2 linked regions of the Oryzias latipes genome follow. The protein of the gene in region 2 interacts with the protein of the main gene of each other region in a biochemical or structural test. Links are inferred from orthologs where the notes say so. Each region holds a gene or a part of one and is shown on either strand. Other genes may lie near its edges.

Region 1 (4,376 bases), on a different chromosome or scaffold from region 2:
TGCTTATTGGTGTGCACAAAATACCAAATTATGGCCACAAAATGTAAATTTGTGTGCAAAAACACCAAATTGTGGCCCCAGAATTCTAATTTGTGTGCACAATATACTAAATTGTGGCATCAGAATGCAAATTTGTGTTCAGAACACCAAATTGTGGCCATAAAATGCTAATATTTGTGCACTTACTACTAATTTGTGGCATCAGAGTGCTTATTGGTGTGCACAAAATACCAAATTGTGGCCACAAAATGTAAATTTGTGTGCAAAACACTAAATTGTGGCCATAAAATGCAAATTTGTGTGCACAAAATACTAAATTGTGTCCGCAAATGCAAATTCGTGTGCATTCATTCATCTTCCATTTTGACCCTTTCGGGGTCACAGGGCTCCCGGAGCCTATCCCGCCAACTTGTGGGTGAAGGCAGGGGACCCCCTGGACAGCTCGCCAGTCTGTCGCAATTTGTGTGCAAAAAAATCCAAAATTGTGGTCATAAAATGCTCATTTGTGTGCACAAAATACCAAATTGTGGCCATAAAATGCAAATTTGTGTGCACAAAATACTAAATTGTGTCCGCAGAATCCATGTACCCTTTCGGGGTCACAGGGCTGCCTTAGCAATTTGTGGGAACCATTGAGCTTTTTGTGCGCTCAAATTAACTCCTGAGACTGAGGCTAACTTCTTGTCTGTTTAGAAGAGTCCTCTGTCTTCCATGTGAGGGGAGGAGAGACTTCTGCTTGAAGGGGCAACATCCCACCATCCTTTCCTGACTGTCTTTCCACCACTAGATCTAAGAGTGTTTGTTTCTGGAGGAGGGATGGGTTGTACTCCGTCCAAGTCCACAGGTATTTGCACTAATGAGCGGGTCTGCAGGGATCTGGACACCTGCTCCACGCTCCTCTCCAGCAGCCTGAGGAGCTCCGTTTCCACACCGGAGAGACCCCGAGTGCGCGCCGAGAACAGCAGCGGGAAGCAGGCGTTTTTAAATGGTGAGACTGATAAAAAATAATTAAAAAAAATTGTCAAATAAATGTTTTCGTCAAAACAAAAATATCTCTACCAGTTTGTAATCAATATTCCTGTCCCATATGAAACTTTAACAAATATGTGGTTTCTCCATTTTGGTTCTGTTTTCTCTAGTTCCCTCTCGAGATGTTCAGGGGTTGTCAGTGATTCGGTCCTCCAGCTTTGAGGGAAGCGCAGTTTCCAGTAATCCGATCACAAGCGATGGCGAACGGATCGCGTAGATCATCATCCCAGCTGCGCGGTAAGAAGAGGGAGCATATGGAGATGAACAGCGTTTATGTCAAAATATGTATTGAATTATTGTTTGCCTTTTTCTTCTACTCGTTACAAAATAAGTGTTAATGAAGGTCACACATAACATCATTATGTAACTAAAGTACTCAAATATATGTTTTCATTAAACATAACACCCGCATCCAACATCGATCTACGCGTACTCTCGCGATAACTTTCGTGAGTTATCGCGAGCACACAGCTCGTAGGAGATGTAGAGAAATGAGGTCTGAAAAGGACCAAATGGCCGTGGACACGGAGAAAAGTGTCGAAATACAATTTAAGGACATTCCAAGAGAGCAGGAGAGCCCAGGTTGCCATCTCAAACAAAAAGAAGAGAAGAAGGAGGTCTTTTCAAAGGTGAGTGAAGCAGCGTTTTGGTACGCGCCGTATTGTTTACTCTTGATGAAGACAACAGACATGGAGGAAGTGGCTGATCATTTCAGCACCGAGGACAGCGAAAAAGACTGTAAATGCACGATTTTCAATCATTTCCACTATGTTTAGCAAATATTTCATCTTTACCTCACAACAATGTCACATTATGTGGCTCCATATCTTTTAAAAATGAAAGACGGAACAAACAGTGGGAGTCAGCAGCCTTTAATACCAAAAGAGCCATTTGGGCTTTTTCTCACGGATTACCTAAAGTCTTTTTTACCCTTTCACATATTTTGACACTGCTCTGCATTCGTATCGTTGTTACTGTTGAAATATGTTGAAATTGTATTTATCCACTTATTTATTTGGCTTGACTAAAATTAAAAGCTGTCAGAGAAAAATTATTGGAAAAAAATGAAATTGTTTTTTTGTTTTTATTTTGATGAAGAATTGCATGTCTTTCTTTTAAATAAAATATATTCTAATAGGGTCATTCCTGTGTCGCTAGTACACTCCTATCAAATTTTAAAACAATGAGTCAATAAAGGCATTTTCTCTTGTTATAACCTAGGTCTTCCTTGGTGGGCACCTTTTCCCTATAACTCCTATTACTGCTGCTGACATATATATATATATATGTGTGTGTGTGTGTGTGTGTATGTGTGTGTGCGTGCGTGAACATGACTTTATTATTTTATGATGCAATAGACAAAATATAGAATCACAGGTACTGGACCTGTGATTTTATAAAACCTAACAAATTTAAATAAATCAAACAGACAAACCCTCACTTTAGGATGTAATTACTATCATTTTATTTGTCTTTAGCCAGCGAGCTACTATGAAAGGTAAAAGACCCACATGTGGGTCTGGAGCTTTAAGTTGCAGACCCCTATTTTAACTATTTCATAATGCTTTCTGAACCCATGTCAATAAATTTAACCTGCTTTGTTTAAAAACAACTGCACTCATTTTTAAGTGGCAGCAGTAATAAAACAGGCCGACGAGGACATGTTTCTATTATTCTTTTGGCACAGTAGACTGTTTTCAGGAATTGAATATTTAAAATGTGGAAACAAACAAGGGTGAGAAATCAGTAAAATAACTTAAAAGATCTTTCCATGTCACTCAAAACATCTTTTTTTTATTTTTTGGTTATTTAATTTTCTGCATATCCTGTTGCACTTCAGGATTTGTTGTCTGTTGACTGTTGCCCATTTTGATGCTGTTATATAGTAGGATAAACATATTTTGAAAACTAGCCAAATACATTTTTAAAAGTATCATACAGAAATACTTTTGTTGTAGCTTTAACTACATTTAAAATAATTGTGTATTCCATGTCATATCCTGCATCTTTCTTTTACAGGTTCCAGTATTTAGTTTTATTAGTCTGCTTAAATGAGTCGGTAATGATTTGAAAAAAATGTTTGAACTTGTCAAGCTTTTGGTCAGGACTGATAGTTTTTTTTTTTTTTTTAAATAAAGTTAATTCTGAAAGTTTGTGGAGAGACTTTACACTCATTGAGAACAGCAGTTAATAACCTTGGAGTAACTGGTTGTACACAGGTTGTGATCAGAAGACTGCCACCTAACCTTTCAAAAGAACAGCTTGAAGAACAACTAAGTCCGCTCCCATCGTATGATTACTTTGAGTTCTTCTCAGCAGATCAAAGGTGTGTTGTGATTTATTACTTGTTTGAAAAACTACTCATTTTTTCAATAAATATGTTTTATATTCTTAATTTTATTTTTTTCCTTCTTTTTTTATTGCAGTCTGTATCCCCACCTTTTTTCAAGAGCATATATCAATTTTAAAAACACTGAGGATATCGTGTTGTTCAGGGATCGATTTGACGGCTACGTCTTTATCGACAACAAAGGTATTGGTTCAAATTTCTTTGACTTTGTTTATAATAACTACAAATAACAAAACACAAACTGTAATATTCTCTGTAGGCACATTTATGGCCTTTAAGTTAAACTATTAACTTGATTATCTGCTAAATAACAAATTAAAAAAAAAAATTTTTAGGTCAAGAATATCCTGCAGTGGTGGAGTTTGCCCCCTTTCAGAAGATTTCCAAGAAAAAACTGAAAAAGAAGGATGCCAAAACTGGAAGCATTGAAGAAGGTACTAAAATGTTCTTGTGAATTTAGCTATTTCTAATATGTTCTTGCTAATTGCTGCATATAAATACGTCTGTGTGAGTTTTTTATATTTAAGACAAATATATTGTTGCTAAAGTAAGAAATCTAAAATGTGAATGTTTTTCTTTAAAAAAAATGTAAACTAAGAGCAATATATATTTGTTTTTGAGTGATGGAAGACCAAAAAGTACAAATTTTGCTCAAGTATGTCCGTCTTTCAGTCTCACCTTCCATTGTTGAAAATTCCTTTCTGATGCAGATATGCATCTAAAATACATTTCCTGATTTATGAGTTTAGTAAATCCATCATCCAAATGAAGCATTGTTGCCAGGTCTCTTTAGCTAGCATGTTTTTCCCCACAATGCGAGTTTTCACACTCCAAGAAAACACATAGTCTCCAGGAAAAAAAAAAAAAACTGTAGTACACATCAGAAATAAAAGCACAAAAATATTTATCATTGTTTGATGTACTTCCAATATTTTTTTAAGATCCACTCCTATGAAAATTGTGTTTGTGGTGTTTTTAACCCTTGTGCTATCCTAGG
Region 2 (3,647 bases):
TCTGGAGCCAAACCTTTACCTGCTGCTTGTTGCCTTTGCGCGTCAGCATGACGAACTGCATGGTGTCCGAGCCCTCCGAGTCTCCCTCCATGATGCACTGCTGTCCAGATCCGCTCTTCTTCAGCTGACTCTTCAGCTGCAGCGGGATGGCCACGTCCAGCTGGTGCACCTTCACCGCCTCCCCGCTGCGCTGCTGTGGCGTCAAAATAGAGGAATCTCGTCAACGTCGCCGGTTCCCTGCGGCGCTGTTTTAGGAGTGCAATCCAGGCTTACCTGCAGGTTCTCCAGCATCATCTTATCCAGAGCCTGAATGAAGTCCTCATCTTCAGCGCACGCCACGTGCTTCAGCCCGCCGCCACGGATGGTCACTTCCTGCTGACGAGTCAAAGTGAGAGGCGGCTCTGCAGCTTCACGGCTGCTCGGAAACTGGACCCCTCTTACATTGTTCTCCTCATCAGTCTCATTTTCTTTATTGGAGTCGGTCAGATAGTCTGTGTTCTCCTCTTCCTCCTCCTCATGCTCCTCCTCCTCCTCATTTTCTGACCCTTCCTGTGATGAAAAACAGTGAAAAAGAAACACAGGAGGAATGATTTTCATCTGAAATCAAACTCTGATGCACCTCCTTTGATTTCCTGCTGTCACTAAAATAAATACTTCAAAGCGCTTAAAGCGGAGAATGAAGCTTTCATTCAACACTGGAGATAAAAGAACGAGCAAAGTTAATGAACACAGCAGCAGTTCCCTCAGCTGAACGTGCGAGCATCGCTGGACTTTGGCTCCTTCCTGGTGTTTTACTCAGAAAAATACCTTGAAGAAAAGCAAACACTGTCGCAGCCGTCGGCTCTGGAAAACACCTGCCTTCACGTCAAAAACAAAGAGAAACTTGAAAACGAATTCTTCACATTAAGAGCGTGACTCTGCACCAGCAGCTCTTCTCCAGCCTTTTTCAGCCCATCAGTGAAAACATCTGACACCAAATCACTCAACTACATATAGAAATGATCATATAATGATATATAGATACATTTTCTTTACTGATGACTGTTTTTACTTTTTTATCTTTGAGCATAAAAATGAACGTTTCCTAATTTATTACCAAACTGTGATCGATGAGACTTTTTAAAGGCGGATTCTCGAGGAGTTCGGAGGCGAAAGAAATCCCTAGGTGGAGTTGGAGACGGTAATTTTTCTGGAAATTTCACCATGGCGAGGTCAAAGGTCAACAAAACTTCAGTTGTGGCTGTAGACTTACAGTGTATGGGTGCGATTTGGGGAGTGGGAAGTTTTCTCTTCCCATATTGTGTGAAAAATCGTCAAATTTCACACTTTGCCACAAAGTGGCCGTGATGCCGTAGTGGCCATCCCATAATAATTTTTAACTTTCCTTTGGATATCCTCGACACGTGTGTTTTGGTTTCATTCTTCAATTTTGACCAACTTTCTTTGATTTGTTAACCAATCGTTTTCTTTGGTGGTTTCTCCCGATGTGATGATGATTTAAAAACTATATTTCTGGAGATGAATTCAGCGTCTCAGAGTCCAGAGTGACCGGTAGGGCGGCGAACATCTGAGGAGCGCAGGAACTCACGTCCTCCTCCTGCTCGTTCATTTCACTCTCATTTCCCGACTGCTCCTCCGTCTCAGCACCACCCTCCTCCTCATCGTCGTCGTCTTCCTCGTCCAGACCCTCGCCCTCGCTCATGGCGCTGGAGCGGCCGTCCTTCTCTGCCGCCAAACCTTAGGGAAAACACACACAAAAAAAGGGGCGTCGTTCTTCAGGTTTCATTCCTCTTTGATGACTTCCACGTTTGGACTCAGGAGGTGATGAAGAACCTCAGCTTCATGGAGCAAACGAGGGGCAGGAGCTGCAGATCAGGTACTGCTGTAGAATGTGATCCAACAAGCTGATGGGAAAAAACGGCGCCGCTGTTCGGCTCCGAAGAACCTTCTCTGCCGCCGGAGGTCCAACCTCCGGCTCTGAACAGAGACGCCTCCAAAAAAAGCTCAGAACCCGGACTTTGGAAGGTCACTTTGATATTTTTGGCGTCCGCAGTTCCGCTCCAGCTTCCGGAGGCCGCGGATCAGCTCGTCACGCTTTCTTTCCGCATTCCACGTCAACAGCTCGAGGGGGCGGAAGAAGGATGAGCTCAGCCGGACGCACCTGTAGGAGCGACCCCGCCCTGCTCCCTCAGCATTCCTGAACGCCGTGACCTCACTCCGGCACGCAGAGCTGCTCCCTCTTTCAGCCGCCTCGGTTTATTTACGACGGCTTTGAGCGTTTGATCTGGAGCTTAAAAATCAATTAAACTGCGTTTTTTCAGGCGGCGCTCATCAATCCGGACGCTCCGGAAGGTTAAAAACAGAAACCAAAACAAACGGCGTCTGAAACCGTGACGCCATGCTCCTGAGAGCAGCAGCATCATCACTAAAGTCATCCAGAAGATGAGACTCTGTTCATTTCAATAATCATCAGAAAACAGAACAGCAACAAAAAACACCACAACTTTATGAACCAAATACGGAATATTTCCATCTATAAATATAAAATCAAAAGGAAAAATGTGGTTTCAGAGGTTTCTATGTTGGTTCGCTGATATTTAGGGTTACATTTTATTCTGTTTTTTAATTAATTCTAATGTGAAATGATTGAAAAGATTAACCACTTTTTAATCACCTTCATGAATATTTTTTGTTTTAGGTGAAAATGTTACCTGACAGCCCCCTAAACTGAATGACTGTTTCAACTTCCATGTTTGTAAAACTGCAGGTCAGTTTCTGGAGATAAAACTTTCAGCTTTTTCAATAAAACCGTTTAAAGATCCGCTCAGATAAAAAAAACGTCCTTTTGGAGAGAACGTGGAGAGGAAGGGGGGCGGAGTTGTTCTGTGCCAACAGTCACAGCTTAAAGGTGAATTTGAACTCCTGCCGCTCTGCAGAAACTATGTCCTAGAAAACAACAGGTTTTTTGATTTAGGCTGAAAACAGCAGAACAGGGGTAAAAAGAAAAAAGATCAGAGGATGATGAGAGTGGAACTTTAAGATTATTCAGACCGGACCTTCAAGTCTAACGTTAAGAGTTCAGATTATTGTTCTGCTAACCCAAAACTTATAAAACGACGGAGGGAATTCTGCTTTAGGATTTTCTAATAGAGCGCAGTAACACACCATCACAATGCCACCACCATGGCTAAAGTGTGTTTGGATTGACTCCAGATATTTGGATGTCAGTCCGGATGTCCCTCTGTGTTCCTCCTTCCTCCTTCAACTTTACGGATCCACGTTGGTCCTAAAACACATCAACTCTGACCTGAACTGAGTCCAGTGAGGCCTGACCTTCTGCTTAGAGTCCTCCTTGTGTTCTTTAACCTGTAACCTGGCTGGGGAGGTTCTTCACTGCTTCAGGTTCCAGGAACTTTGGTGGAACTGAAATTTTGTTCTGATTCAACTGAATGGGGGTGGGTGTGTGTGTGTGTGTGTGTGGGGGGGGGGGGGGGGGTACGTCTTCCACAGACTGGAAGGAGAATCTCTCCAGATCAGATCAACAAACCAGATCGGCCCACGACCTTCACCACCAGAGGAGCATCTGATGACATGATGCCAAAACAAGGAGCTTCTCTAAGCTCCTCCTTGACCTTCATGTGATCACC

Evidence for each region. The genes of interacting proteins can lie anywhere in the genome.
Region 1: the proteins of upf2 (region 2) and regulator of nonsense transcripts 3A form a complex in vitro, tested with the Homo sapiens proteins (2 studies listed by IntAct, with this or other methods). The link is inferred for Oryzias latipes from reciprocal best matches to the Homo sapiens genes UPF2 and UPF3A.

What each region holds. Positions count from the first base shown.
Region 1 is NC_019879.2:7,277,855-7,282,230, reverse strand, and holds the start of regulator of nonsense transcripts 3A, read left to right. Parts: upstream 1-1,471; 5' UTR 1,472-1,520; coding exon 1,521-1,658; intron 1,659-3,248; coding exon 3,249-3,355; intron 3,356-3,455; coding exon 3,456-3,562; intron 3,563-3,714; coding exon 3,715-3,813; intron 3,814-4,376. UniProt on the Homo sapiens protein: Involved in nonsense-mediated decay (NMD) of mRNAs containing premature stop codons by associating with the nuclear exon junction complex (EJC) and serving as link between the EJC core and NMD machinery.
Region 2 is NC_019881.2:22,252,991-22,256,637, reverse strand, and holds part of upf2 (regulator of nonsense transcripts 2), read right to left. Parts: intron 1,738-3,647; coding exon 1,589-1,737; intron 550-1,588; coding exon 442-549; intron 376-441; coding exon 274-375; intron 194-273; coding exon 20-193; intron 1-19. UniProt on the Homo sapiens protein: Involved in nonsense-mediated decay (NMD) of mRNAs containing premature stop codons by associating with the nuclear exon junction complex (EJC).